4 linked regions of the Tamandua tetradactyla genome follow. The protein of the gene in region 1 interacts with the protein of each later gene in a pairwise test. Links are inferred from orthologs where the notes say so. Each region holds a gene or a part of one and is shown in the gene's direction. Other genes may lie near its edges.

Region 1 (6,930 bases):
TGGAGGAACCCTGAAAACATTATGCTAAGTGAAAGAAGCCAGTCACAAAAGACCACATATGGTATGATTCCATTTATATGAAATATCCAGGCAAATCTATGGAGATAGTAAGTAGACTGGTAGTTACCTAGGGCCAAGGAGGATAGGGGGATAGGGGAGTGATAATTGAAGTTAGTGATAACTAACTTTTGAGGACGATGGAAGTGTTCTAAAATTGATTGTCGTGATGGTTGTATAATTCTGTGACATACTAAAAACCACTGAATTGTTTACTTTTCACAGATGAATTATATGGTATGTGATTTATATCTTAATAGAGTTTTATTAAAAAAATATAGACCCCTAAATATTTAGTAAACTAATGACTAATGAAACAAATTCTAGGACTCGTATGGAAAGGGGGTTCAAGCTAAAGCCATTTAATACTTAAACTCAATTCCTAACACTCCCAAAGTACCAAAGTTTCATGAGTTTGAAGTGAAGACGTCTTTAATTCAGGCTGAAAACATTTTATAATTAAAACAAAATAATTTTGATATTTAGAAAAACAGACAGTTTACATATATTGCATTATATAGCATAAACATACACTCTGTACATAATAATTTAATCATTACTCAAATATGAAACAAAAGAAATACTGATCTTTTGTTCCGGACTCTGGTGAATTGTAGTTTTTATCCTTAGCTGAACTCGCTATAAACATGTACCAAATCAGGCTCAATCTATATGAATACTAGAACATGCTCTAAAATATGGTAATTTAGAGAATACATTTCTAACTTTCTTCTTTCTAAAATGATTCTGGTTAATGAAAATGCCAATATTATATACATTACAAATATAATAATAAAACATTATAAATATAGGGAGTAATTAAAATCCTCTGAGTTGGTATCTTTTTATAAAAGGAGTTACCCAAGGATTATATTATAATGACATCCATTGTTTTTGTATGTGCGTAAAAAAAACCACCAAGAGAGTGATATGAAGTTAGAATTAAAAAAAAAAAATGGCCTTGAATAAAATTTCTTTAAAAGATATAGCACTGGCCAAGTACTGTGTAAAGCGCTAGAGCCCTCACCTTTAAAAAGCAACACTCTGGAGTCAGGGAAACGTGGGATCAGATCTTGGTTCTAACATTTATATCCGTAATTCTGAACCACTTACCTCAGCTCCCTGAGACTTACATTTTTATCAGGAAAATGGTAGTACTAATACCTAGATCAAAGGATTAAATGGGATGCTATATAGCAATTTCCTAGCACACTGCCTGGCAAACAGTAATTGTTTTAAAACAGTAGCAATTATTATTACTTTTAATAATAACTCCAATGGTTATTACTTTCTTTAATCTTTTACCTGCACCCTTAACCTTTTCTCAGCCTTCTTCATCGACCTCAATAATCCTTCAGAAATTATTTATTCAACTACTCCTACTTAGGGGGGTTACACTATATTATCAGGCCATGGGAATACAAAGAGTCTACATGAGAGAGGACAGACATAACACCAATAATTATAAGTGGTACACGCAGGAAGTATGCCATGGACATATATAACAAAGAGTATTTAATTCAAGGAAGCCTGAAGAAGCGCTTTTTTAAAACAGAGACCTGAAATGCACAAAGAAATTAGCCAGGCAAAAAAAGCGTTGCAGGCAATAGAACACATTTAAAGTTCAATAAGAAAAAGAGTACAGGATGATCTCAAGGAACTGGAAGTTGTACAATATAATTGGAACAGAGAGAGTGAGACAGAAGAGGGCCAAGAATAAGCCTGGAGAGGCAGGAAGGGCCATATTCTGCAGGACCAACTAAATTAAGTTAGATTTATAAGATTTCACCTTAAGAGCAAAAGAAGCTACTGAGGGGTTTTATGGAACTCTGCATTTTAAAACAATTTCTGGGATTTGGAGAAGATAATGGAGTCGAAAGGGTTAAAAATGAATGCAGGGAGATTATTAAGAGGGTCTTGTTGAATTCTAGGTGTCAAGGGAGAAAAGCGTGTACAAAGGTAGTAATAGTGGGATTGAAGAGAAATGGAACTATTGAAAAAACAATTCATTTGGGGAGTAGAACCAATAACCTTTTCAGGAAGCTGTCCCAGACATCTCCAGTTAACCATTCTTGTCCCTTTAATTCCCCAAACCTTGAGTATTCCTCTATTTTTACTATTAACACAGTGAATTTTAATTTTGGCTTGCTTTTCTATCTTTATTAGAATGCAGACTTCTTTGGACCAAGGGCTATGTCTTTCAATTCTGCATTCTTAAATTCTGCACACTGACTCAGAAGCAAGCTGATATTCTCAAGGTTTACTGACGTGCATCCTTCCCCTTACATAAACAACTTGAAGAGGAGATGGTTTTGGATTTGAATTTTTAAATATTTTCTCTGACGTTCCTGCAAATAGCTGATATTTTCATAGCGTATCATGTAACATAGTGATTATCAAATGGGTGGAAGGGGATAGAAGTAGTTTGGAAAAGCACATATACAAATAATTATATTAATGAAAAAGAAAATAAACTTTTGTTTCTGTAAAAAAAGTTACAGGAAGTAAAGCTTGACATTAACTTAGGTGCTGGAACATGGATTTAAGCAGTTGAGAAACATTTCACAGCTGTTTTCCTACTTTCCCTCTAATTATACTATTACTAGTTCAATAGGAATGGAATAAACAAATCTGTTAGATCTGTATGCACAATTAAGAGTAAAATGGCTCAAAATAAAGGTCTGAGAAACTTTTATGTAAGTCAAGTGTTTGAGTTTCTGATGATTCTCGTATACTGGCATATTCCCTAGCCTTGGCTCAGGCAGTCCCTACAGACCTAGACCACTTCCTCTTTGTCCATTCAAATTCTATGCGGAGTTTAAGATTCAAATCCTCCAAGATCACACGCTAATCTCGTCCTTCTCTGAATTCCAAGGGCAGTTCGAAGTCTATGTCAGGAAATTTAATAAGTGACCACGTTCTGCCTAGTAATTTCTTCTCAACAAGGGCAGGGAGACGCGCTAAAAAAGTACAAGTGGTGACAGATGAATACCAACAGTGTGCTTATTATAACACTCACGTGGAAGTTAAATCAAGCCCAATCCTAGTTCACAGGTGATAAATGCGTGACAGTCAACCTTTTATCTGACCAAAGGGCCCAGTTAATGAGCGAATAAGCTCTCCAGAGAGTTCTAAAGAGAGAGAGGGGGGAGGGGAATTCAAGCTTCCTCAACAACAAAAAAGCAGCTTTCCTTAGTTCACCCCACTTTCTAGCTTCCTCAAAGCCACTCCTTCTCCCCAACTGATCTCTTCCCAAGATGGAAACGACGAAGTCCAAAAATGATATGACATCTGCTTTGCCACCTGACCTAGGAGCGGAGACTCACCAGTTTCATATCGGACTTTAGGTTGTCAGATACCCGTCACTCGACTCCTCACACCCAGAAAGCGTTTTCCGGTTCAATCCTCGACACCGAGCCGCAAAGGGGATCTCGGAACATGCAGTCTTTCTTTCTACGCTTCCCTCTCCCAGGGAGTCATGGGAACTGTAGTCTTCCCTAGATGCATCATGGGAATTGTGGTCATCTTTCCTTTTCCTCCCTTTCCTCTCTAAACTCCTCCTTCCCTTAGCTCAAATTCATCCGCGTTGCCACTTCATCTTCTCGTTCTCTCTTTCTCTTTCTACACCCCAGCATGATATCATGTCCCCCATATGGGTTTGGGGTCCATGGTATTCTGGGACGTGTAGTCTCCCTGCGACTGAGACCCCTTTTCCCTCCTCCCTGTGGGAAGGCGGATGGGCGCGCGGCTTGCTGGGAGCTGTAGTTCTCTAGGGTCTCTAGTTGACGGGTCCCGCGCTTTTGCTCAAGGGAGGCAGGAACTACAACTCCCAGGATCGCCTGGCGGCAGCAGGTGGGAGCGGGGCTGTTGATATCAATATGGCGGTTGTCAGCCAGACAAAGACAGTCAGTCTGATGTGATTGAGACAAGGGTGGTTTTCAGGGGTAGACTGGGAGATAGGGGCCTCCCCTCCCCCTTCTCCTCTTCCTGCGCTAGTCTCAACCCCTCCCCAGTCCCCTTCCAACTGGCGCCCCACGCGGAAGACACCCCTCCCCCTCCTGCTTTCCCCTCCTCCTTACCTCAGACCTTCGTACTGGGACGTTGGGGAGGGGGCTGTGCCGGGCGAAGAGAACTCAGCAAGGATTCTGAGGTGAGTCGAGAGGTTTTGAAGCCGGACTTCCTCAAGTCTTTTCCCTTACTTCTTACTCTTCACTTTTTTTTTTTAAAGGGGTTTTGGGGAGAAAGTGTGTGGGCTGGGAAGGGTCTCCTAAGCGGCCCGATTGAGAAGAGGGAAGAATCAGGGGCTTCAGAGTGTGTGACCCAGACGCAGGGTATGGGGTGGGGCACTTTGTGGGGGGCTGTAAGTGAAAGGCGTTGGCTGCTCCCCAACTCTTTCTCCTTGTTTCCTAAACTGGGCGGAAGGTTTGAATCCTGGAGGTAGGGTCTGCAGTTTGGAGTTTGGGTAACTAAGGTGATTTTGAGGTACGTTGATTTATTTGGTGTGTACATAACTGTTTTAAACTGTGTGACGTGTACTTGTATGATATGTTTGTATTGAGTAAATGTCTATAGATAAGAAGTTAAATAGCTAGAGACATAGCTTTTTCCTGGGCCTGGGCTGAGAAGCGTGCGTGAGGTCCTGATCCTGGGCGTTTGGGCTGGCGACATGGTGCGGGGTAGCAACTCGTTGTGTCCCATTACTCACTCACATTACTCCTCCCTGCCTTCATCCGCTCTTCTGGACAAATCTCCGCCCCAAACTCAGGGTAGGAGAACTGTAGAGATGATGTGGTTTGGAGATGGATTTTTGCATCCTTAAGTCGGTAGATAGGTGGCAAACCAAAAGTGTTCTTAATATTTTATTCCGGAACCGTGTTCTGGTTACACTATTGGGGCTACTTTGAAAGGAGTCCTCCACCCACCCTCACTCTGGAACATTAGGTAGAGGTATCTCACAGTCTTCTTGTTAAATAGATTAACAATTACTTAAGAATTTGGTGTGTGGGGTGGGAGTCGGAAGTGCTGAATTCTGTATGTGTTCTCATTGTCTACTAAAGACACAGGATGACTGTTGCGTATCTTGAGATAAGACGAGTTATTTTCGTGCTAGGAAAAACTGTCGGAAATTATCTGGGGGGCAGCTGAAAGGCGCTGCTTGTATTTTTCTTTTACCCCACCCTGTTCTGCCTGGCATTTGCCTGGAAGCTGGTATGGAAGAGTGAGGAAGCATTGGGTGAGTGAAGAGAAGGCAGTTGGTATTAAAGATATATACTATGTAAAGTTGGATAGTATAAAGTGGTTGCTGTCTTTATTTACTCTGAAGCTTTAAAAACCTCATGTATCATTAGATGACTAGTTCATTTCTCTGGAATCTTGCTGGTAGAGATCTTCTTTGCTTCCTTCATCCTTCCATCCTTCCATCCTTCTACCAGCCGTTTTTCTTTCCTTTTTTTCTTGGCATGGTACATCATTTTTCTTTCCGATAGACATAATGCCTACTGTGCCTTTTTATTTAGTTTGCACTAATATGGTTGTACTTTTCTGTGGGTTTATTATCATATTTATCATTAAATGAAAAGGATCTGCATTTATTTTTATTTTGCATTTATGCCACAAGTGAATATCATTTAGGATTTTAGTGCTTTGCATTAAACTTATTTTTAAATCGCACAAGTTGTCAAATCTAGTTAAATTATGAAAATTTGAATTCTAATTTTCTTCTATTTGCAATCTGAATTATAAAGGAAAGAGGATCGCAACATCACTTGTTTCTCAGTCTTTAATATTTAATAACATTATACCAGGAGAATTTAGTATAATTTGTTTTTTACTTTCTTCAATCTGAAATGTAAGTTTTTAAATAACCCTTCTTAGTGGTGTTTTTAGTGTAATGGATTTTTAAGTAACTAAAATAATTGCCATAATTTCTATTTAGACTGTTGAGAATTTAATGTATTTACCTATTTCCCCTGAAACTTATCAATTCTTGAAACCACTACCTATCAGTAAGGGACTTTAGAGTGTACAAAAACTGAAAATCACATTTAGTATGTGATTTTATGTTATATTTCATAACTTTTTATTGAAATTTCTGCTGTTGGTCATTCACATAAACTGACTGAAGTGCAAGGTAGCATGTATATTTAGACTGGCCTGAATTTAAAAAAATTGATGTTTTCTAAATCTCAAATTTAGAATGTAGAATATGTTGGTTCAAAGCCGAGTCATTAGTTTGTTATAAACTAGGATTTCCAGAATTATTTATTTTAACATTATGTCTTACATTGAAGATTGAATGTACTGAATGTACTGAAACATTACATTGCAAAAACTGGGGAAAAATCCTATGTAACTACGTAATAGTGTGGTTTTTGCTGAACGATATTATCCTAGCCATAGAGTTTTAAAATGTTTAACAGTTATTTTAAGAAACAGACCTAAAATGTTTGTTGGAGTTGGGAAATGTGTTTTCTTCTACCTGCCCTACCCTCAAAAATTTTTTTGTTGTTGTTTTGTTTTCTTCTATGGAAATTCAAAGTTATTTGCTGGGAAAAGCTTTCGTTAAACTTACTTTGATTATTAGTCTGGATGAAATCTTTGCATGTAAACCACATATATTTCGTACATTTGTTGTGGGGGAGGGGATTCTGTTGCATTTTAAGCCCAGGGCATTAAAATGATGTAAAGCCTTTACTGCAGGTTAAAGCATAAAGCATTCTCAGCATGTGAAAGTCATATGGTTTACGAAAAAAAGTGGAAAATCAGGGCATTGGTGCCTGGCCAGCTTAAAATTTCATCCTGTAACTGTGAAAGCCACATTTATTTTCATGTGATCATTTCTAAAAATGTTGTCTATATTATGGCAAGTTGAAA
Region 2 (7,594 bases), on another chromosome or scaffold:
AGTCCTGTGAATTAGGAATTATCTCTATATTGCATAGTAGGAAACATTATGCAAGTCAGAGAAAACTGACTTGCCCAAGAGCATAAAGTAAAAAAAAGACAGCCACACTCTCTATTTGCTACAGATGCCAAATAACTAATTATCTCTGAGAAATAAAAGTATCACCTGTTATGTAAATTCTTGCTAAAAGCATATAAATAAAGAGTAGCAGCAACAGAAATCATTCCATTGGATATTAGGAACGTCTGTTGTAGAGGTAATAATGCAACCAAACATAAATAAGTTTGTCTTAAAACAATGGAAAAAGATTTTTTTCTGTTTGTTTAAAGCATTAAAAGAAAGCCCCAGGGTTTGCAGAATCTCAAGAAAGCTTGAGATTCTGCAAAAGTTTCATACACTACAGTTACTTTCCACAAACCTACAACCTAGCTTCCTAGGCCAGAGAAGTCCTGAAACCCAGAGAGGCCAGCCTCTTCAGAACAGCAACTAGTTCCATCACCCTATCCCATAATATTGACAGCTCTGTCCAACATGAAAAAAGTTTGAATGAGCATAGCCCAAATGCCCTTAACGATTAGAATATAACTCATACAAACTCTGAAATCTGTACTATAACTAATTGTTGTGGTGTGCTTTGAAACTTATTGCTTTTTTTGTACATATATTTCACAATTAAAAAAATGTTTAAATATAAAAAGAAAGCACTACTCTTAAGGTATGGGCACAAAAAGCAAAAAGGTTTTGGGCAGTTTTCATTGTCATGCAAATCTCTGATTTACATGCCACATGCCACCTAGTGTTGTAAATTATAACTGCACAGAATTATAACTCATAGTTATTATAACTCAAAAATAGCTAAAGGATACCCAGAGCAATTCAAAAATATGAATATGATTTGCCTGGCATCACTTTTTTTTTTTTTTTTTGGCATCACTTACTTTAGAAATGACTCAACAGCAATTTCTTTCTTCTTTATTTTTTTTTTAACCTACCTCATTCAGAAATGTAGTTTAGCCCAGAAAAAGTAGATGTATTTATTAAGGTAATTCCAGTTTATTTTTTTTTTAAAGAAAATATAATGAATTACAGCTAGGATAACACATAGTTTAAATAAATCAATGGAATTTATACTACTCCTGAGATTTAATAATTATGAATCATTTTACTTAAGTTTGAACAATTACCTTTCATGTCATTTGCTGAAGTACAATTTTGAAACTTGATTTCTAAGGATTTAATTAAAACTAAGCTCACTGCTCTAAGGATCACTTGATCTGGACCAGAGATACTTTCACATCCAGGTTGAACTTCATTGCCTCCAAAGAAGGAAGGTTTTCCATAAACAGACAATGTCCTCAACAACCCCAAATTCACAGCTTGCAAAATGGCATTAGCTAAAGCCAACATGTCCACATCTAAATGAAGATCTGGTGGTACGAAGGAAAGGGCAGATCCAGGAAAGAGGTCTTCACCCACTTTACAGAGAAGGCACTTTTTAATGAAGAGGATGAACTTCTTCTTGATGAAAGCTTGAACAGGCCAGGTAATAACATCCAGCACACAGGAAGGTTTCAAAAATAAAATCCTCTGGCAAGTGAAATGTGACTTCAGGTAGATTCTGGAGGCTATAAGAAGTTCAAGCAACTCCAGGAAACTCAACAAGCTGTTTATTATTTTAGAAGTATCTTGGAAGGTTTCAAAATGTTGAGAAAATAAGGAGTTGTAAAATACTTCAAAAATAGTGTCAAAAGGAGCCAGGAACTGCTTTAGAATTTCTGGAATTATAAACAAGGAAAACAAAGTCTTCTTAAAACACAGTCAGTATTACACTTTAATTTTTATAACTATTATCACTTTACAAGATGAAAAAGTAGATTTGGATTGTTTACCTCCAACATGAACAAATAAGGATACAAAAAGTAACTGCTAATAATCACCATTAACAATTTCTACAAACATAAATAAATCAAACTATGCAAGGGATAAATATATATATATATATGTATATATAAAATCTATACACACATATGTAGTAATGAAAAGTTTTAATACTTTTCTTGATAACTTTATTTTATTTAGTTTTATTATTTTTTAGTATTGGTTTGCTATGTCATTTTCTTTTAAAAAGGTATCTTCAATTAACTTTATTCAATTAACAAATAAGAGGAGAGATTCTGCCAAGAAAGAACAGATGTTGTAAAATAAATATTCTTCTTTATAATATAATGTTCTTCGGGAGCAAGACTGTGGCAGTCGTTATGAGATAACAAATAATTCCTACCTGTTTTTTGTGAACATGAATCTTTAAATATTTCTTTTATTACGAGTGTAAGGGTCCAGAGACAGGATGTTATCTTATTACTCTCAGAGTACTCAGAAAGATTTTTTTGACAAAAAGCAATCCAAGAATTACTTAATGTTATCTACAAATGAGAAAATAAAAACATTTGCATTAATTCATTTAGAAGAGAAAAATGTGATGCTGCATTTGTTAATACTGTTTCTCGTTACACTGAGGACCATTCTTAGAATTTATTTATATTAAATCTGTGAAAATTATTTTGGTCTCAAGCAGGAGATCTAAACACTTATTTTTGCAGGGGTGGGGAAGAGCTACCCACTCCTTTGAGAATCTAAACAAAGTCATGGACTATTTGACCAAAAGACATATACTGCTTCCCTGAAACCCACCCATTGGGTTAAGAATCTGATTTATAATGATTTACAATATATTTAAGACTCTAATCCTTGATATCATTGTATTGTTCCATTTTTCCACTTTTGTGGATTTACACATGTATTATGTCAGCAAAAATTCTATTAATACATATTTGAAATATAAGATCAAATGCCAAAAAGCAATTTCAAAGAAACTATAAGAAAAATAATAACCTAACGTTAATACTTATCTTACCTTCTCTCTCAGTTGGAAATAGAGAAGCAATGCAAGACACTTTGCAGCCATGTGGGATAGTAATTTATCTGAATTCTGGAACATAGAGATCTGTAGGATTGCAAATATTTAACTGCTATTGGTGACTGCTTTTTAGAAATTTTATTTTAAAACTTTTATTTAAAAAATCCAGATCTCAAAATAAACAAAAAGCAAAGGAAGTAAATGGCTTACTAATTTAGAATCCACTTCAGATGATTTTAAAAGACATTTAATGATGTCACTGTATTTCTCCTTTGCGTGGAAGTCAGTTTTGCAAGACAATATTCTGGATATCATCACTTTGATCACTGTCAACTGAAGCAGTGTTACTTCTCGGGCATTGCCCATCTGGGAGGGTCTCTTCAAATGCTCTGGTTCCATACAAGTGGTACCCAAATGGGCAAAGTGTGGCTGGTTCTTGTCCTGGCCCCCATGGATGTCTGGCCATTCTTGGGAGGTAACTGTAGAGAAATCTTGATCTGAAAATGTGGGGTTGAGATAGAAGATGTACTCATGGCTGTCTTTTTCAAGTGTGGCTTCGAGTAGCACCTTTTTGTATAACTGTTCTAAAACTTCACTGAAAGCTTTCATTTTGACTCCCAATATGTATCTTTTATAAGAAGGTTGACAACTCCAAATTGTAAGTATTATGGATCTTGGAAATGAGATGACTCTCTAAGATATTTCTTCAATAAAACCTAAAATAGGAAAAATACTTTAAAAATATTCATTACAAACAAAAGGCAACTGTTTCTACTTAATTATTAAGTTCCTTGAATTAAAAGTAATGCTGATTGTTTAATTTATTAAAGGGAAAACTGATAATAAGAACTTACTTTCCATACAGAATGAAGAACATAAAATCACTTTTCATTTTATCATAACAGAAACATTAGCATTCCTCTTGAGTTCATCAAACTTGGCCCTATTAATATCTTAGGGCAGATAATTCTTTAGGGTGGGAACTGTCCTGTATATCACAGGTTGCTTAGCAGCCTCCTGGACTCTATCCACCACACGCAGGTAGCACTCATGCCCTCTCTGTAAGAATGGTTAATAGAGACAGTCAGCTGACTGGGGATAAAGGGATGGGGGTACCTATAGCGTCCTTCGGGAACATTCCCCTGGATAGTCCATAGGATAGTGTTGGCAGTCAGGACCAACAATAGCTCCACTGGTGACATTCCACCAACAATTGAGGAAGAAGTTGGAACAAGACAGTGCAGGAAAGGGCTGCAGGACAGTTCAAACCGGTCTTACAGGCAGGGAAGGAGAGAGCTTCTGACGTAAGCTTAGAACTGGCGCCAAATAGGCAGAAACAAGTTTAAATAAGTAACGGCCAGTGTCACTGAAATGTAAAGTGTAATCAAAAGCGGGAACCTTTGGCGGGAAATTTGAATTAGTTAGACTGTCTGGATAGGCTGTAACCTCTGGAGTATCCAACCAGAGGAGAAACAGGGAAGGGACCCGCATGCTAGGCTTAGGTAATAAATACCACCGCTTTGGTCGCTGGGGGCATCAGCCACCATTTTTCGGCTGCGTGCGCCTTCTTGCAAGATCGTTAAAAAATTCTTTTCTTCTCTACAATCCGGTAAGCGTTTATTCTCTTTCAGGAATGGCTTACTTTGTAGCAATTTTGGGTGCTCATCTAGGATCTGACTTCGGAGGAGGCCCCCGCGGAGGACGCAGGGAAGGCAGGCCCTGCTGATTGAGTGGTCCCAGACTCTGCCATTAGGGGCCCACTTCTGACTGCCAGAAGGACCCGAGGCCAGACGCTTGGATCCACCGACTGTGAACGAGAAAACGGGAAGGGAAAATCTACCTCACAGTGACCAGGCAACTCTGTGCATGGAGCAAGGTAAGAAAAAGACTCGTGGGTATTGCCTTTGTGGTCGGGAAGAATTCTGACGAGCCTGGCACTGAGTGAGCAAGTGCCGAGTCCCAATCCGCAGTTCCCTTCTCCTATGAGGGAGAGGGTCAGAGCTGGATGAAGCAAAATGGTGCTGAGAGAAAGAAAACCAGGCAAGACTCAGAATGGTTAATAGAGACAGTCAGCTGACTGGGGAAAAAGGGATGGGGGTACCTATAGCGTCCTTCGGGAACATTCCCCTGGATAGTCCATAGGGAGAATGTTGGAACATTGGATGGATAGTGTTGGCAGTCAGGGCCAACAACAGCTCCACTGGTGACATTCCATCAACAATTGAGGGAGAAGTTGGAACAATTTGAAAAAAATAGGCGGAATTTTCCATTTCCGGGGGCTGCAGAGGAAAAAAAGGGTGAAAGAACATAGACCTGTTAAGTCCCTATACCTTCTGAGAAAAATACCTATTGGACCAGGGGAAATCGGTTATATACCTTGTCCAAACTTATGTCTATTCTAAATATCCTCTTTATGGGGGAAGAAAGGGGAATGGTGAGGAGGACAGCTATGAAACAGTGGGAGAGGCAGCACCCACCTAGGCAAGGGGTAATGGCAGCAGAGCAAAAGTTCTCCAGTGTAGATACTAATTGGAATAATACTAATCTGGAAGACAGGGCACAAATGAGGGATTTTAGAGACTGCATATACAAGGGATAAAATTGGCTATATCCAATTCTCATAAAATAAATAAAAAATAAATAAATAAAGCTTTTGAGGTGGCTCAAGAAAAAGACAGCTTAAGTTATCTTAAAAGGGACTTGAAGAAGTACCCAGACTTACTGATAGCCTTGTAATTTTCTAGTTTTTGTCTCTTTGGTTCATTAGAACTATTTCAGTGGTATGTGACGACTTGATCCAGAGACTGGGTGCTTCTATAATAATCCCATCACCAAATGCTGGAGTTGCAGACTTCCTCCTTGTAAGAGTGAAGAAAATGCGTGAATAAAATTATCTTGATATGGGAGCATTTTTCCTGTAGTTCAGTCTTGACGAAAGTGTCAGTGCAGGAATTGAACTTCTAGAAGGGTTATGGTGTCTCCTAACAGGACCTACCAACTACTTCTGAGCAATAATGTTGGATTTATTTGAGGAGCAAAAAAGATGCCTGCTTTCTGACCTGGCAAGTAGCTGAGCCAAGGAAGGGTTGGATGATTAGAAGAGACATAAGATTCTTGGTTAAACTGAAGATTTCATTTGGGAACCAAAAATTTTGTTATCTCTTGGATAGTGAGCCACATATTTTATGCATCTTTTCCAGCAAAAGCTTGTTGGATATTATGTTTTTGAGGAATGAACTTAGACAAAACCCATTCTGCTTACCTACAAACGTTGAGGGACCAGGTGAGGAAATGTTCAGGGATGGACTCTGATAGTCCTGTGGCCCAAAGATGTAAAGGGGTCTTGGCCTGACAGTCAGAAAAAGATCCAGAAAATAGATGGGTGGATGGATAAGCCACTAGGAGAGTTATTGAGAGAGTCTCAGAAAATGTTTGTGAGTAGGGAAGAGGAAAGCAGGAGCAACAAGCTAAAGTCATGTTAAGCATGGTTGACCACATGGTCAAGAAGGGATTAGAGATAAAGCAGGCAGAAGCAAGATAGAGAAACTGTCTGGCCCAAAGGGGATAAAGGAATGAGGAGGGCACAAGACTCGGCAGAGTGTTATCACTGTGGGAAACCTGGTCATTTCAAAAGGGAATGCCTGAGTTTAAAGAAAGAAGGATGAGTAATACCCCTGATGAATTTTGGGGATTAGGAAGGTCAGAGCCTCCTCGTCTCAAGAACCACCAGGAGTCTTTGGTAAATCTGAAGGTGGGTCCATATCAGGGAGAAATTACACTTTTGGTGGACACTGGGGCAGCCTGATATTCTGTGACCCATATCCACAGGGGATAGAATTCTCTGGTTGCTCCCTCACAATTTCGGGGGTAAAAGGGGAAGGACTTAAAAGTTCCCATTTTCAAACCTACTAATATCTGTTGAGAAGGATCCTATACCCCCCTGCTGTACAGTCCAAAAGCTGGGAATAACTTGTTGGGAAGGGATCTGATAGTACCCATGGGACTTGCGGATGGGCATGATCCAAGACTACTGCACAGAAAGCCAATGAGTGTTGTGGGATTTGTGTGACAAGAACCACTGCCAGTAAGGACTGAAAGGGACAGAAAAAGGACAATGTGAAAGTAAAATAACTTCAGAGGTAGAACCATGGAAGCTAAAGTCTAAAGTCAAAAAACCTCCAGCAAAAACAGACCCACCCAAGTACTTGGAGAGGGTAAGTTTGCCCAGAGGCAGAAGATGGGCCTTCCACCTCATGGTGGAGGAATGGTGCCAGGCCTTGGAGAGGCACCAAGTCCTTGGGCATGTGCTCTAGAGATGGCAGAAGGCCCAGGTGCGGCCCGATGTTTGGAGAGGGTGGAGCCAAGATGGGTGTAGTCTTCCCAGTGTTCCCTAGGGTTGTGTTGGAGAGGCGGGCCACTGCATAGGCCCTTGGAAAGGGTGGGACTGCCAGTTTCTAAGGCCCCAAAATAAATGACTCTCAGATTTTGAAATCAAATGGAGTTTGCCATGCAGGTTTTCTAAACTGCTTGGGTCCAATGACCCCTGTATTCCTTCAGATTTCTCCCTATGGAAATGAGGATATGTATCCTATGACTGTCCCTCCTTTGTATGTTGGCAGCAAATAATTTGTTGAATCTTACAGGTCCAGAGCCAAAGGAAAATTCTTCCTTAAGACA
Region 3 (7,506 bases), on another chromosome or scaffold:
TAAGTATCTACTCTGGCCACGGCCGGGCCTCCAGCCCCACTGTGGCATTAATGCAGAACAAATTGAGACATATCCTCTATATAATTAGTTCCAGAATTTAAAAAGATTTACGGTATAATTAGAGAGGCAGCGCTGCGGAATCCTTTCACTGAGGACTCCGGGAGCTCGGGGATCCGGCTTGCGTTGGCATCAGAACCGACCGGTAACCCGGGCGGCTCCAGGCACGGCGCGCTGGGGGAGAAAAGGGGGAATTTGCGCGGCGTTCCCTCCAGTGCACGGCGGTTCCCGGGACCCCAAAACGAGTCAGAGAACAGAACTCCAACCGCAGATGGAGGGGTTGGTCATATATATAAATATATGTATATATAAAAGATCGAGTTCATTGTCAAACAAGCTGAGGAAGACGGGAGTGGGCTAGGACAAAAGATCCCTACCTTGCTCTTTTTATTAAATTTTTAATTTAAAGAAAGAGAAAACAAAAAACTGGGAATTCTACAGTGAAGCTCGTGGCTGGTAACCATCCTAAGCGCCTGCTGGGTGGCCCGAGGTGGGCAGATTCTAAGAGCTGAAATTGGTGGGGAAGGAGCCGCAGATGTCCGGCCGTTTGTTCTGGGCGTTGGGATCCGGGCGCAGGTCCTCGGGCGAGGACCTAGCGGAGCGCCTGTTCCTCCCGGGAGGCGGGCTGTCGAGAGGTCGGGCCACTCCTGATCAAGGGCCTCTGCGGCCCAGAGCCCTGGCCCTTGACAGATCGCAGCGCTTCAGCGTGTTTATTCAGATGTCTGTGGCCTCAGGGTGACGCTGGAGCGCGGCCCCGGCGTGCGCGCTGGTCCCTGGGGCCCCTGCGGCCCAACTCCGCGCTCCGCTGTCGGTGCCGGTTGAAAAAACCGGTCCCGGGGGTCGAGAGACCTCAGTGCCGCTTCCCCCCAGCCGCGATTTTTTGATCTTGCGATAATTACATGCACCTTCCAGGCGGGGATGCGCTTTACTCTTGTACCAAAGCCGCACAGGTTTCCAGCATCTTTCCTTTCCTCCTCACTCCTTTCTTTACCCCCACCCTAGAGAGGCAAAGGGGTCGTGGCAAAGCCTCGAGGGAGACCCGAGTTTCAGCTCGGTTCTTCCATAAACTGCCATGTATCCTTGTATTATATGCTAACAAAAATTGCAAAGTTTTTTCAGCTCTCAGGCCAACACCATTCTCTTATCTAATCCTCAACTCCTATCTAATCCTCACTAGGGTCCCATGAGCTCGTCTGACCCATAAGGAAACCGAGTCTCTGAAAGGCTAAGGAACTCGTCTAGGTTCACAGCCCTTGTTAAAGTAGGTTCACAGCCCTTGTTAAAGTGGCGGAGCCGAGATTTCATTTTCTGGCCCCCAATTCCTTGTTCGTAACCACTGCGCCCCGCAGTTCGCCTTTCCTCCCCTGCCGGGGCCTCGTTTCTTTCTCTGTAGAAAGGGAGCTGAATCTCTAGGTCTGACTTTTGGTGATTTAGACTGGTATTCCTTTGGCCATGAGTCTCGGCGCTGACGATGTGGGAAGGGGGGTGAAAGAGGGGAGCCACCAGCTCTCTGCAGCCTTCATTTCCCTGAGACCTTGGGCCGGCCTCGAACTGCAGGAGGAGCAGGAGAGCGCCTGCCGGCCGGGGCCCGCCGAGGATGCGGCCTCCTCCTGCTGAGGCTCTGGGCCTCTTGGCCCAACTCGGGGTGCCGAGAACAGGGTGGCCGGTGCGTCGGCCTGGGTAACCATTCGGCTCCCGCAGAGTACGTAGCCAGGAGAGGGAGGAGAGGAGGGGAAGGGGGTATGGGGCCCTTGAGACACGGGGGTCTGCGGGTGCCATCCAGGACACCGTGCCAGAGCGCAATGTGTGTGTATATGTGTGTGTTGGGGGGGGATGCCTCAGAGGTCTCGGTACAGGTCCCGGGGCCCTCAACGGCGGGGTGTCTGATTTGCAGCACTTACCTCTCTGCCGGGTCAGTTGGAGGGAACTCCTCTCACCGCTCTGCACCGCAAGACTCGGAGAGGGGGCACCAGGGGGTTGTAATGGGAATCGCACCACTATGCTAACCCACCACAGGGCATTTCAGGAAACCAGTGGTGGAGCAGTGAGCGAGTCTCAAATTTGTCGGTCTGCCCTTTCCTCCCACCTCCGCACCCGCTTCCCCGGGCAAACCTTTTTTTTTTTTATTTTTTAACTTAAAAGCAGAGATGTAAGCGCATTTGTCCTTCGTGGGATCCCAAACCACAAAGACTCACATTTCAACCAGTCCCTCCAAATATCCTCCCCCAAGACAAAACTTGCAAAAGACTGCTAAAAAAAGAATTTCATTCTTTTCGTTTAGAAATGGAAATCTCTGGCTTTTCGGAAAGGAACCCCTTTGCTTCGTAGCGCCTGAGTCCTAGTTAAGAAAAACGAGTTCCAAGTAGAAATAGAAGAGAGGTGGGGGCTGGGGCGCTCTAGGGCTACTTGCCTGAGACAAGTTCTCTCCGGGGGTCTTTTTCCATCACAAAGACCAAACGCACTTGCCCTCTGCCCAGCCCTAGAGCTCTGCAACAGGTTCAGGGATGGGGCGTGCAGGAGAGCAGTCGACTCTCTCCATAGAGTGCAGGGGAAAGAAAAAGAAACCTGAATCAAGAGCCTCTTCCATTTCTTTAAATAATAATAATGTTTCTGCGTGGAGATGTGGCAAAGTCAAGCACCGTAAGTAGCGCAGGGAGGTGTCCACGACCGCGAAGGTGGCTGAGGGAGCAGCGGGCAGCGCATGCTCCCAATCTTTGCCCTCAGGGTCTCCTGACAGGCGATCCCAAAAGTTGGGAATTGCGGACAGCGCGGACGTCCTAAACCCGCACACGCTGGGTGCCCGCAGCCGGAACTCACAGCGACTGCGTTTAGCGAGTGCAAATTAAAACCAAAGCTTACGAAATGGAGAGTAAGTAAAGCTTTATCAACGCGTAGTGTCTTCGTGAAACTGCATCTACCTTGATGCTTCACGGGACCCTGGCTGGAAAGCTGCGGGCCTCATCCCCGGCTCGCCCGGTGCCCAGGACCCAGGGCAACCCGCCGCCTCCCGCCCTGGGCGCCTTGCCGTCCCAGTTTGAGCCCTTTGGGCCACCAGGCGCCGCTGGGCGTTTCCCGCGCCCCTGAAATGCACATCACTCGGGAGTCCCGGCGCTTCTCCTCATCTATGGGCCTTCCGCCTTATCCTCGATAGATCCTGTGGGGCGCGGAGCCAGGCGGAGAGAGGAGAGGATTTGGCTGGGGTCCACTCGGGGAGCTCCCAGCCGACACTGCCTCGCGGCGTGGGCCGAAGGACGCGCTCCCTACCCGGCTCCTCCAGCCGCCTTTCTGGGCTGCGCTTCCCCGCGGACCGCTGCGCGCCGAGGGTGGTACCCCCGCCGGGGAGCAAGGCAGAGCTTGGCACGAGCGGCGCCAGGAGCCCCTCTCTCTCCATCTCCACCTCCGACAGGGTGCTAGGATGCTCCGGCAGGCTCCGGGCCTTTCCCCAAGGGTATTCTTACCCCCTCGCCCCCCAAACTAGCCACTGTTTCTCCCGAGCTTCACCGTGGAAGAATCAGATACTCTGCACTAGGAAGGGCGATTAACGTGGCTGACACGGATTTTTAGATAGGTAGGAACCCCCTTCCTCTAGGTACAAACCTCATCAGGTAGCCAGTTACCAGACAACTACCAACTACCATGCCTGGCTTATTACAACAGATGCAACTTCTCGAGGCCACCAATCTGGGGCACGTTCGTCTCGAATCCCGGGCCTCCGGAATCCACAAAGGGCCTATACCAACCCCCCCAACCTCCGCACCCCATGACCCCCAAATTATGGCCACCACTCTAGCCTGTCGGCTCTGGAAGCAGGAACCGGATTCCTAGGCGCAGAGAAAGGGCATCTGCGATTTATAAGTCCAGGCAAGTTTTCTGTGCTTAACCCAAGTTCCCGCCCTAGCCGAGGCTACCTGCCCCTCCCTCCAGCCCGCCCTCTCAGGTTAACACCCCCATCCCCACCCCTTCGCACTTGAGTGCAAAGTGGACACGAACTCTCACCTGGAGGGACTCACCAGTGCCTCGAGGCATCCACACTCGCGAAATCTTAAAGAGGGGGCGGGGGGGATGCACCCCACAAGCTAGCTGAGTGCGTGTGGCGGGTGGAAGGAGAGGAGGGTGCCTCTGAGAGAGACGGCCCCTCAGGCCCGCCTCCAACCCCCGCTGCGAGGGCGCCCCCCCCCCCCCAAGGAGCGGCGCGCGCTGCCTAGCCCGGCTGGGGCTGCGGTGTGAATGGAGCGGCGGAGACTCCTGGCTCCTCCTCCGCCGCCGCCGGCCCCTCTTATTTGAGCTTTGGGAAGCTGGGGGCAGCCAGGCAGCTGGGGTAAGGAGTTCAAGGCAGCACCCACACCCGGGGGCTCTCCGCAACCCGACTGTCTGCTCCCCCCTTTTCCCTTCCCGCCCTCCCTCCCACCCACCTTTCAGAGCCGGGACGCCAGTCCCAGCGGCCAGGCCCCGCTGCTCCTCTCCGCGATCCTGGACTTCCTCCCGCCGCGGGAGCCGGCTTCCACGTGTGCCCCGGAGCCCGCATCCCGGCACGCGCTCGGGATCCGGGTGCCTTCAGCAGCTGGAGCAGCCGGGGACACGCGGCTCGGGCTGCGGCATCTGGGCCAAGTTCACCGCGGCCGCGTCGAGCACAGAGCGTGGGCAGGACCGGAGGAGCCGCGGGGCGCCCGGGACTGAGCCGCAGCAAATGGGCTCCGACGTGCGGGACCTGAATGCGTTGCTGCCAGCGGTCCCTTCGCTGGGTACCGGCGGCGGCTGCGCCCTGCCTGTGAGCGGCGCCGCGCAGTGGGCGCCGGTGCTGGACTTCGCGCCCCCGGGCGCCTCGGCTTACGGTTCGCTGGGCGGTCCCGCGCCGCCGCCGGCTCCTCCGCCGCCGCCGCCGCCGCCTCACTCCTTCATCAAACAGGAGCCGACCTGGGGCGGCGCGGAGCCGCACGAGGAGCAGTGCTTGAGCGCCTTCACCGTCCATTTCTCCGGCCAATTCACCGGCACAGCCGGAGCCTGTCGCTACGGACCCTTCGGTCCTCCTCCGCCCAGCCAGGCGTCGTCCGGGCAGGGCAGGATGTTCCCCAACGCGCCCTACCTGCCCAGCTGCCTCGAGAGCCAGCCCGCTATTCGCAACCAGGGTAAGTAGCCCGGGGAGCGCCCCCTACACGCGGGGCGGTGGCGCCGGGGCTCTCACGGAGTGCAGGCTCTTCTTTCTCGTGCCTCTTCTCTCCCTGATCTTAGCTTTTACTCGGCTGTCCGGCCAAGGTCTAGGAAGCAGCGGCCGGGAAGACGAGGCGATGCCCTGAGAAGGGACCATACGCCGGCATCGGCTTCCGACGCTTTCCACCTCCCGACGCCTTCCACCTCCGGGAAGGGCGGGAATCGGACTGTTCGCATGAGCCGGGAGGTCCTCGCCCCTAAAGCTCCATGAGACTCCCGGATTTCGAGTTCCTTCGGGAGTGGGGAAGGGGGAACCGTTGCAGTCTCAAGCTCTGCCTCGGGAAGAGGATTTTGTTGTCCAGGGAACCACCAAATTGTCACTAGGCACTGGGCATCGTAGACGTCCAGACGGGGGTTTCGGAGTGGGTCTCCTACAGCATGAGCTGCCTACGCTACGCTGGGATGTCCAGACTTTACAGCGCAATATGATATTGCACACAGTAGGAACACAAGTACCAAGTTGGGGGGGGAGGGTAAGTAAATGAACGGGCTAGCAACTAAATAGTGATTTTCCTGAAACTGTGTCCGAGTCCACTTACGGTTCCAGGATATGGAAGTGTAGAACTGGGGCTCTCCTGAATTCCTGCCCAGGCGCGCGTGGGGGCAGTCTCCTGGGATGGGAAAAAAACAGTTTATCCGATTCTGTGCTATATAGGGGGCCGGGTTCTACCCGAAGCAGTGGTATGAAGCCTGAACATGGGCCTGCCTTTCAGCGCGGCTTGGAAATCCCCTCCTGGCTTACACGCGGGGCTCAGGGGAAAGAATTTTGCAGGGTCTGGGAGTAGACAAGGACAGGTTTATTTGCGGTGTTCAGGAAAAGTACAACGAGAGACATGAACCATTGTTTTCTCCTATCACTCTGGCGCCTGCACTTCTCTCCTTTCTGGCGGCCAGAGCGGAACCAAGCGGTTCCGGAATCTCAAGCCCCTATAGTTTGGTCCCTAAATTTATTTTAATTGAATTTCGTTGAGATCTTTTAAGCCAATTCGGTTTGACTTGCTGTCTTAGGAAATGTTTTGCTAACACAGTGATGGGGAACTTTTCCTGAAGCAAAACTTCTCACGGGCCTAGGAACTAAGATTTTTCTGGAACGCCTGGGCTGGTTGGGACGGAGTATGTATGGTTTGCAAGAGGTGCTGGGGCGCCCGGGCTCGGAAGAAGGGCTCTGTGCACCTGGCCGACCGAGGCCCAGGCGAAACCGAAACCATCCTCCCCTTTTCCACCCGGCAAGAACCTGGGGCCTAGCCAAGGAGTTCTTAACTCTTGGGCCTTCAGAAATAAAGTGTTTTGTACTTAAGGGAATTGGAACAGCTTAGTGCCCATTGATCGCAGAATGCTGCATGGTCTGGAGGCTCCTGTTTTCGGATCGTGTCACTTCTAATTGGCAGGCTGGTGTTTCGTTTGGCGATTTCTCCAGGTCCCAGTTTGCGGAGCTGTAAGAGGAGGGCCGAGATGGGCGACCTGGAGGTCGGTCCAGCCTGAAATTCTGCATTGGAGAAGCGGAAATGCAACTTATCAAGGGTTCTGGGTTCTAAATACTGAACTCGCCAGCCCACCTAAACATGACTGGGCCAGAAATAGTGCAACTGGCCAGTATGTGGTTGCCTGCTGGTTAGAGAGGCCTAAGAAGCCATTTATGTTCCTGGGGCCCAAAATCTACTGCATCATTATCTTTGATTTGAGTCCATCTAGATTGGGCAGGGGCTTATGGAACCTGGGCTTGGTGGCTTGGCTTTGAGTCCAACGTTCTGCAGGGCAGACATGTCTGGTGCTCGGGGTCCGGACACCTATGCCAGGCTGTAGGTGTTGCAGCCAGCCAGGACTACACTGAGGGAAAAATGCCAATTCTTCTTCAGTAAACAGACCAAGTTGCCCCAGAGAAAAAGAAAGTTGGGGGCAAGAGAGCCAGAAAGGAGGTGTGGACGAACTCCTACCCCAGGGAAAGGCCAAAGGGGAACCTACTACCCCAAACACGGGCAGTAGTTGAGAGGCGAGCTGTGGCCTCTGGTCTTGGCTTTCTCCCACAATAGTAACATTAATGGGTTGAATATGCCCAGCCCTTGGAGTTCACTCAGTTGAGCTGGGGTGTGGGATGTAAGAAGCCGCTGCAGCCCCAACATGGGCAACCAGGACAGGCTCTCGAGGTCCCTGAATTCCGGGTTTATTCTTTTGATTTCTGGGGTTCCTTCGGCTCCCCCAGGAATATATGGCCAGGCCAAACCTCCTGGAGTTCAGGATTCT
Region 4 (6,904 bases), on another chromosome or scaffold:
TATAATGATTCTGCAGTCATACTCATTTATTAAATCCTATCTTCTCTGTTATGACTCATCTTTCTTCTTTGATCCTTCTCCCATCTTTCAAGGAAAACATGTCAGAATTTCTACAAGAAACTTCCAAATGTTTAATATTTGAAAAAATATTTCTTTTAAATAAGTCTTTGGTGCTTTGAGAAAAAGATGTATTGTTTATTAGAACATTAGAAATTATATATATTCATAGATATATATGATAATTACTCTTGAAAAAAGTGTGTGTACTCTATGAAACATTTGAAAGAATATGTATAAATTTGTAAGTATATGTGTATAGATAAAATATTATTTTAGCATTAATAAATTCAGTTCAGGTGACATTACTGTGCTTTTTGGCATCAGTTATTATATAATTCATAAATTTTAATACAATGCTGGCTAAAATAAAATATGCACATAAAACTATGATCCTGGGAAAAATCTGTCTCAGAGCCTATGCCCAAGCATTCATTTCCCATCAATTTAATTATCTATGTGGAAATAACAGAAACTCTCAATCATGCACTGTGTTGCTCTGGGGAAAGTCTATTCACATTCAACCATGGTTGTTTCTCTGTTTGGGCTTTCTGTGTTTTTTGTGGTCTTTGTTTTCCTCTATGATAATTTAGAATACTTATGAACCCTTTTAGCACATTAAGAGTCTTTGGTTTCTTTTTCTTGAATTTTTTGAAACAGGTTTTGATTTTTCCATATGAAATAGGTTTTGTAATAGTTCGTTTGAGCTGTCAAGTTGGCCAGGTAATGTTGCTCACTTGTTATGTTGCTGTGGAACTAAATCATTAGCACATGAATTTCATTTATGGCTGATTACATCTGCAGTTGTCTAGGTTAAGGGGAGTGCCTATTGATATGAGTTATGTTTAATATAATTAGCTGGAGGTTTAAAAGGAGAAGTCAGAAGAGAGAGAAGCAACTCAGGACAGTTCATCAAATCCAAGCTCAGTGCTCATAGCCAAAATAGACCCAGATATTTGTAGACAGAGAGGAAATGTCCCAGGGAAACTTGTTTGAATTCAGAAACTGGGAGAGAAGGTCAGCAGACATCACCAGGTGATTGAGGAATCAGATGAAAGACAGCTGCCTTTCCTTCCTGTAAATTTGTAGGTAAATAAATCCTCTTTATAAAAGCCAATCCATTTCTATTCTATCGCATTCTCGCAGCTATAGCAAACTAAAGCAGGTTTTAATCTCTACTGCTTTGCATATTACCATCCTGCTTCAGGTCGTGGACAATAGAGATGCGTGCTCCGTTATCTAGTACGAGGAAATGTCTCCATGTTTCCTCCTGTTGGTTTTCAAATCTTTTCTCCATCAATGCTGTAATATGGCGGTTTAGTTTATCAGTTTGGAATCATGAGTCTCTTGAATAAAGAACGTCCCCCAAAATGTTGCTTATGCAAAATAGGCTTCACTCTTCTGCCCCACTAAAGAATTGCAAAGTTGAAATGCCAGCTCCAAACATCACTAGGCATCCAGGCTTCTATAGCTTTTTTTTCAGTATCTTGAGTGAGAGACTCAGATTCCCCATGTAAGGGAATGAGCAGCTCTGGTCATTACATCCATGGCCCAGACACTTGGAAAGATGGAAGGCAGAGCATTAGTGTGAGCTGTGTCCTACCAGTTAAGCTCTTTGTGAGAATTTTTCCAGAAATCAGCTCCAAAATAAAAGTTGAGTTAAGTGGCTACCTCCACCCACAAACCCTCCTACTAGGAAGGCCTGGAAGCATTTTTTTATTTAATACAACTCTTAGGAATCCAAATAGCAGTGCCAGTCACTGCATACATAATCAATTCTTATTTTCATTAATATTGCATATAAAGGAACATGGTTTTGTAAAAATGAAATATTCTTAAATTCTATATGTTGATACTTACACTTAAGTGTTTGAACAACACCCTCTTATTTAAAATCTTCTCCAGTTCTGATTTTTCTATTGGTGCCTTTGTAAATTTCTAATTACTAATATTTATTTTCTTTTTCTGCTGGGTGGTAGTAAGGCCTGCCATCTCCATGTCATCAGAAGTTTAGTCATAATTCCTTGGCATATTTTGGTATCGTTGTAATATTTTATTTTAACCATGGTTTCTTAAGTTAGTTTAAATTTGCATTTTCCTAATGGCTACTGCTGCTGAACATCTTTTCTTATGCATATTCCCAATCCTTTATCATCTTGATGAAGTGTCTGTGCATTTCACTTGTTTTGTTTATCTTGTTTCTCTGGAGTGTTTTTCTTTGTATGTATGGCTACAAGTCTGGATACAAATAGATGCTTTAAAAGTAATTTCTCCCAATCTATACTTTGCCTTTTCATTCATTCTGAGAATTTAAAGAAAGTTTTAATGAAGTCCAATGTATTTTCCCCCTTCATGATTTTAACTTTGCTGTCAATTCTAAGAGGACTTGGAATATCCTTATTTATGAAGAATTTATTCTATGATTTTAATAAAACTGCATAATTTACAATGGATGTTTGAGTTAATTTTTGGTGTCCAACGCTTGGTTTAGGAAGAAGTTCCTTTTTTGCACATGGATGTCCAAATGTTCCCACATCACTTTTTGGGGGGGAGGGGGTTCATGGTCCAGGAATCGAACCCAGGTCTCCCGCATGAAAGGCGAGCATTCTACCACTGAACCACCCGTGCACCCCCTACATCACTTCTTTTAAAAGTATTATTCTTTTTCCATTGACTAGACTCTATTTCATTGTCAAGTATCAAATAACCACATAGTAATGGCTTTATAATAGTACTGTATGTATATGGGCATTAATCTATTTGTTTACGTGTTACTACATCATAACATCATAACCTTAGAGGAAGTCTTAAAATAGGATAGTGTGGGAGGAGGAGTGATGTCATCAACATCACAACATAAACAGCTACTGAAAATGTCTCTCTCCTGAGATTAAAGGACAACTCTGAATTTCTCAGAACTCTAGAGGAAGATAACTACTTCTCTACTGGAGAAGGACCCCACAAATGCCAAATTGAAGATAGAGAAAATCAGGTAGGAAACTTATGTCTCAGACAGGCTGGCGCTCTCCCCTCCCGGTACTCAGTCTCACACACACAACGGGAAGGACACAGAGACAGCATATGGGATCCCTCCCACTGGGGTCACAGAATATTCTCTTACAGCAGCGAGAGATACTCCCACCATTTGGACACCTGGGGGACAGGGGAGGGCATTTCAGTCCAGGTCAGTGAGGGCCAAAGAGTCTGAGAAAATGTGGACAGTCTGTTTCGAGCCCTATGTGCGAAAGCTGTTCCCGAACCCGAGGGAAACAGCTGCGGACAGCCTGATCCTTGCCTGGGAGATGGCTGAAAACTGGACAGACGGGGAAGTTCTCCGCCACAAATTAAGTGGGGAATACAGCCCCACATTGAGCCAGATATTGGCCAGCACGTGAGGCACCCACAGTTTGAGCTCAGCCTGTTCAGATACAGCCTGGGTTCCCTGGACAACTAAATTGTTGAATAATGCCATTTGCGGGGCAGACGAGAAAGTGCAAGGGAATTGCGTCGTTTTTCAGACTCTCCAGACCATGCCTCAGGCCCACGGGAGTGGTTTAGCCCCTAGTGAGAATCCAGTCCCGCGTTGGCTGAGAAGCACCGATGGCAGCTCCTAAGAGCAGTGTCCAGCAACGAGCCCGGCTCTGTGGGCTGGTAAAGCTGGGCGCCCCTGGGGGCCTCAGACCGACCCCTTTACCCGCAGCAGAGACCCTGCTGGGGTGTCCCTGCCGGCGCCGTGTCTGAGGAAGGTCCCCGCGGTCGCCTGGCTTCGGGGTGAAGGGGGTGCAGAGCCAATCTGACAACCGGCTGCTGAGACAGAAAATCTGCAAAGCCCGAGGCGCAGGAGGCCAGCGCGCACTGCCTCTCCTCCCCCGTCCTCCTAGGGCTCGAGCCTGCCTCATGGCTCCTGACCCTTTACCCTGCGCTTCTCATCCCAGAATCCCAGGAAGTAGCACTCTTCGCCCTTTTCCCTGACAGGAACCTAAGACCCTCTTGTTTTCTCTACCCGGACCCCGCGCGGCCCCGCCCACCTCACTTCTTTGTGCCCTGCGGAACAGCCCATCGCAGCTGCGTTTCCGGAGGAGGGAATTCGGCCCCGGACCCTACGCATTACGTGAATTCCGGCGGCGACAGCCCGCATGGCGGTGAGCGCCGTGGAGAGGCCGCGGGAGTGACGGGGTTGCGGGTTGTCTGCGGCCTCCGATGACCTCCGCGCTGCCTCCCTTTCTCCAGGCCCCTGTCCGCGCTGCTCAGGAGACGACGTCGGCGGCCCCAGCCCTAGGTCCCTGCGCGCCCCACGGTTCCCGGCTCCCTGGCCCGGTTCCCAGTGCCCGGAGTCCTTCCTCTGTAACGCCCCATCCAGCCCGTCTGTGCTCGCGGCATCCCACCTTTAAGGACACTGACTCCGGGGTGCACCCTGTAGGCGACGGCGGAGGCGCGGCTTCGAAGAAGAGGAAGAAAAAACGCCGGAACGGCGCCTCTGTGGCCGACGGCGGCGAGAAGGCCTCAGAAAAGCGCGTCCCAGAGGAGCCCCCACTAAGCGCTGAGGCCCAGGCAAGAGCCGGTTCCAGGCGAGAAGGGTGGAATCCCCGGGTGCATCCTGGGGTCGAGGCACGGCAGGTGGGGTCGAGGTCTTGTGGCCTGCGGTCTACGGACTTAGGGTAGGGAAGGGGTGGATGGCTGGGGTTTTAGGGTTCTTTTCGGGATAGAACCAGGGCCTGAGCTCCGGGATCCTAGTACCTTTTCCCAGCCACTCCTCTCCATCCCCCGACTCCCAAAATCATCACAGGCTGAGCAGCTGGCCCAGGAATTGGCCTGGTGTGTGGAGCAGCTGGAGCTCGGTCTCAGGACCCAGAGACCCAGCCTAAAACAGAGTGAGGAGCCCTCCTGTTGAGTTGGGGGGAAGCGGGCGGGGACAGCAGTGTTGCCTGCAGGTGCTGCCTGGGGATGGAGTTGGTGCCTTTGTGGTGGGGTGATGGGAGATGAGATGAGAGGAGAGGAAGTCACTGGTGTTTTTTATCCACAGAGAAGCAGGCTACTGGGGCAATCCGGACACTGTGCAGTGAAAGAACCCCCTTGCCCCGGAAGAGGCAGCTCATGCACTCCTTGTTTGGAGACTACAGGGCTCAGATGGAAGCAGAACGGAAGGAGGCCCTGCGTGCTCTCAGGGCCGGTGAGGGGCTGGAAAGTGATTGATTCAGGCTGGCCTAGTTCACAAGTGTGGAGGGGAAGACTGGTGGTGAAACAGAAGAAGCTCAGAGCACAGGGTTGGTGCAGGGAAGGAAGTGAGCTTAGGGAAACCCAGGGGAAAAGGCAGAGAGAAAAGCCTGGACCACTCAGGAACACAGAACTAGGGCTTGGACCAGGGCAAAAGATCCTGGGGGGTGAGGAAACAGCCGGATCCTGCTCCTAAGGTAGGGGAAAGTCTTACCTATTTTTACCTTGGCTTTCTCTGTTGACCATTTCGTTCAATGACACAGCTACACACCCTGAGTTCAGTTTCTGGGCCTTCTGCTTAGTAGCTGTCATACCTTTGGCAAGTTACTTAATCTCTCTGTACCTTAGTTGCTTGACTCTAAAGTTGGAAGTGCTGATAATACCTACCTTATGATTTCCAGAAATCAGTCAGTTGATTTATATGAAGTTTTCTAAGGATATTAAAATCTTATGGGAATTATAAGAACACAGTGTTAGCTGTTATTTTTCAGTTCTAACTCTTTTTCCTTCCGTCTACAGCAGCCCACTTGGCACACGTAAAGCCTGTAGATGAGGCCACCAGAAAGAAGAGCCAAAGGGTCTGCAGGCCCCGCCGAGTGGGGGCAGCCAAGGCCTTCCTGGATACTCCTGATGAAGAGTTTAGGTTCAATTTCTTTTAGCTCATGCCCCTCATCCTCGAACAAAGCCTCTCCTTAGAGTGGTATGGGAGGTTGTTGTAGTACGGAACCCTTCCAGGAATGTTCTGTTGGGTTGATGTGGGCTTGGCCCATTCTTAGCTGGTTGGTGAATCTGATGTTATGGTTGTTGGGCAGAAGTAAGACCCAGTATATTGGCATCACTGACAGACAAGCACAGACGCCACTTGTAGGTTTTCTTATGAAATATCCATCCTGCCAGAAGACAGAAGTGCATTTAGAAAAACTTCTACAATTTAATGAAGTGTTTAGTATGTTATTAAAATAATATTCTACTTAGTATTTGATTAGATTAAGTAGGTATCAATAACATAATTGAACACTGGTGCTTACTTTTGAAAGGATGCCTGTCAATGGATTGCTTTATGTCATTATGCCACATCTTTGTAATAAATCTCTATTTTTTATTGAAAAAAAAGGTTAATGAGTAAAGAGTACTAACCATTTGTGTCAGAGAGGTACAAACAGGGCATCTGACACTGCTGGGTCTAGGCTCACAGTTCTTGAAAGTATGTCTTGTTTCTTTTTCTGAGTGAGCATCATCCTCGGTGGCTTTGTTATTATGGACAAAGAGTTTCTCACCCCTGGTAGTTCCAGTCAAAAACTGGTTAGGTGTCAGTGGGCCACCTCTGTGAAGGTAGGCCACTCCAGGGCCTATACACCAGACCACATGCATCCTCACAGTCCCTCCCATCCAGCTCCTACCATGCTCCACTCTGTGTTTCCCACACTACACCCTGCTCTTGTGTCCCAAAGCCTACTTGAACTGCACCCCACCCCTACAGCCCCTGCATTGCACCTCCACAACCCCATGCCCCACATTCCATGCTCATAGGCACCAGTGTAGCACCCTCAAACTGTGCCTACCTGTGTTGCAACCAATCACCACACTTTTATGCCCTGCCCCATGCCTTACATCCTCCTCTACATCTATCCTG

Evidence for each region.
Region 2: the proteins of HMBOX1 (region 1) and ASB7 interact in binary tests that used the Homo sapiens proteins (3 or more experiments, as listed by UniProt). The two-hybrid records come from large-scale screens. The link is inferred for Tamandua tetradactyla from reciprocal best matches to the Homo sapiens genes HMBOX1 and ASB7.
Region 3: the proteins of HMBOX1 (region 1) and WT1 interact in binary tests that used the Homo sapiens proteins (3 or more experiments, as listed by UniProt). The link is inferred for Tamandua tetradactyla from reciprocal best matches to the Homo sapiens genes HMBOX1 and WT1.
Region 4: the proteins of HMBOX1 (region 1) and C12H8orf33 interact in binary tests that used the Homo sapiens proteins (3 or more experiments, as listed by UniProt). The two-hybrid records come from large-scale screens. The link is inferred for Tamandua tetradactyla from reciprocal best matches to the Homo sapiens genes HMBOX1 and C8orf33.

The regions. Positions count from the first base shown.
Region 1 is NC_135329.1:30,331,423-30,338,352, forward strand, and holds the start of HMBOX1 (homeobox-containing protein 1), read left to right. Parts: upstream 1-3,915; 5' UTR 3,916-4,207; intron 4,208-4,553; exon of another isoform or gene 4,554-5,290; intron 5,291-6,930. Other genes in the region: INTS9 (integrator complex subunit 9), read right to left, coding at 3,384-3,392. UniProt on the Homo sapiens protein: Binds directly to 5'-TTAGGG-3' repeats in telomeric DNA. Associates with the telomerase complex at sites of active telomere processing and positively regulates telomere elongation.
Region 2 is NC_135338.1:84,036,662-84,044,255, reverse strand, and holds the start of ASB7 (ankyrin repeat and SOCS box protein 7), read left to right. Parts: upstream 1-4,591; 5' UTR 4,592-4,793; intron 4,794-5,018; exon of another isoform or gene 5,019-5,600; intron 5,601-5,639; exon of another isoform or gene 5,640-5,775; intron 5,776-7,316; exon of another isoform or gene 7,317-7,594. Other genes in the region: LINS1 (protein Lines homolog 1), read right to left, coding at 1,185-1,775, 2,282-2,423, 2,915-3,004, 3,128-3,526. UniProt on the Homo sapiens protein: Probable substrate-recognition component of a SCF-like ECS (Elongin-Cullin-SOCS-box protein) E3 ubiquitin-protein ligase complex which mediates the ubiquitination and subsequent proteasomal degradation of target proteins.
Region 3 is NC_135334.1:108,436,743-108,444,248, reverse strand, and holds the start of WT1 (Wilms tumor protein), read left to right. Parts: upstream 1-4,486; 5' UTR 4,487-4,744; coding exon 4,745-5,183; intron 5,184-7,506. UniProt on the Homo sapiens protein: Transcription factor that plays an important role in cellular development and cell survival. Recognizes and binds to the DNA sequence 5'-GCG(T/G)GGGCG-3'. Regulates the expression of numerous target genes, including EPO.
Region 4 is NC_135338.1:102,033,984-102,040,887, forward strand, and holds C12H8orf33 (UPF0488 protein C8orf33 homolog), read left to right. Parts: upstream 1-4,181; 5' UTR 4,182-4,193; coding exon of another isoform or gene 4,194-4,199; 5' UTR 4,200-4,257; coding exon 4,258-4,608; intron 4,609-4,843; coding exon 4,844-4,928; intron 4,929-5,080; coding exon 5,081-5,227; intron 5,228-5,790; coding exon 5,791-5,930; 3' UTR 5,931-6,384; downstream 6,385-6,904.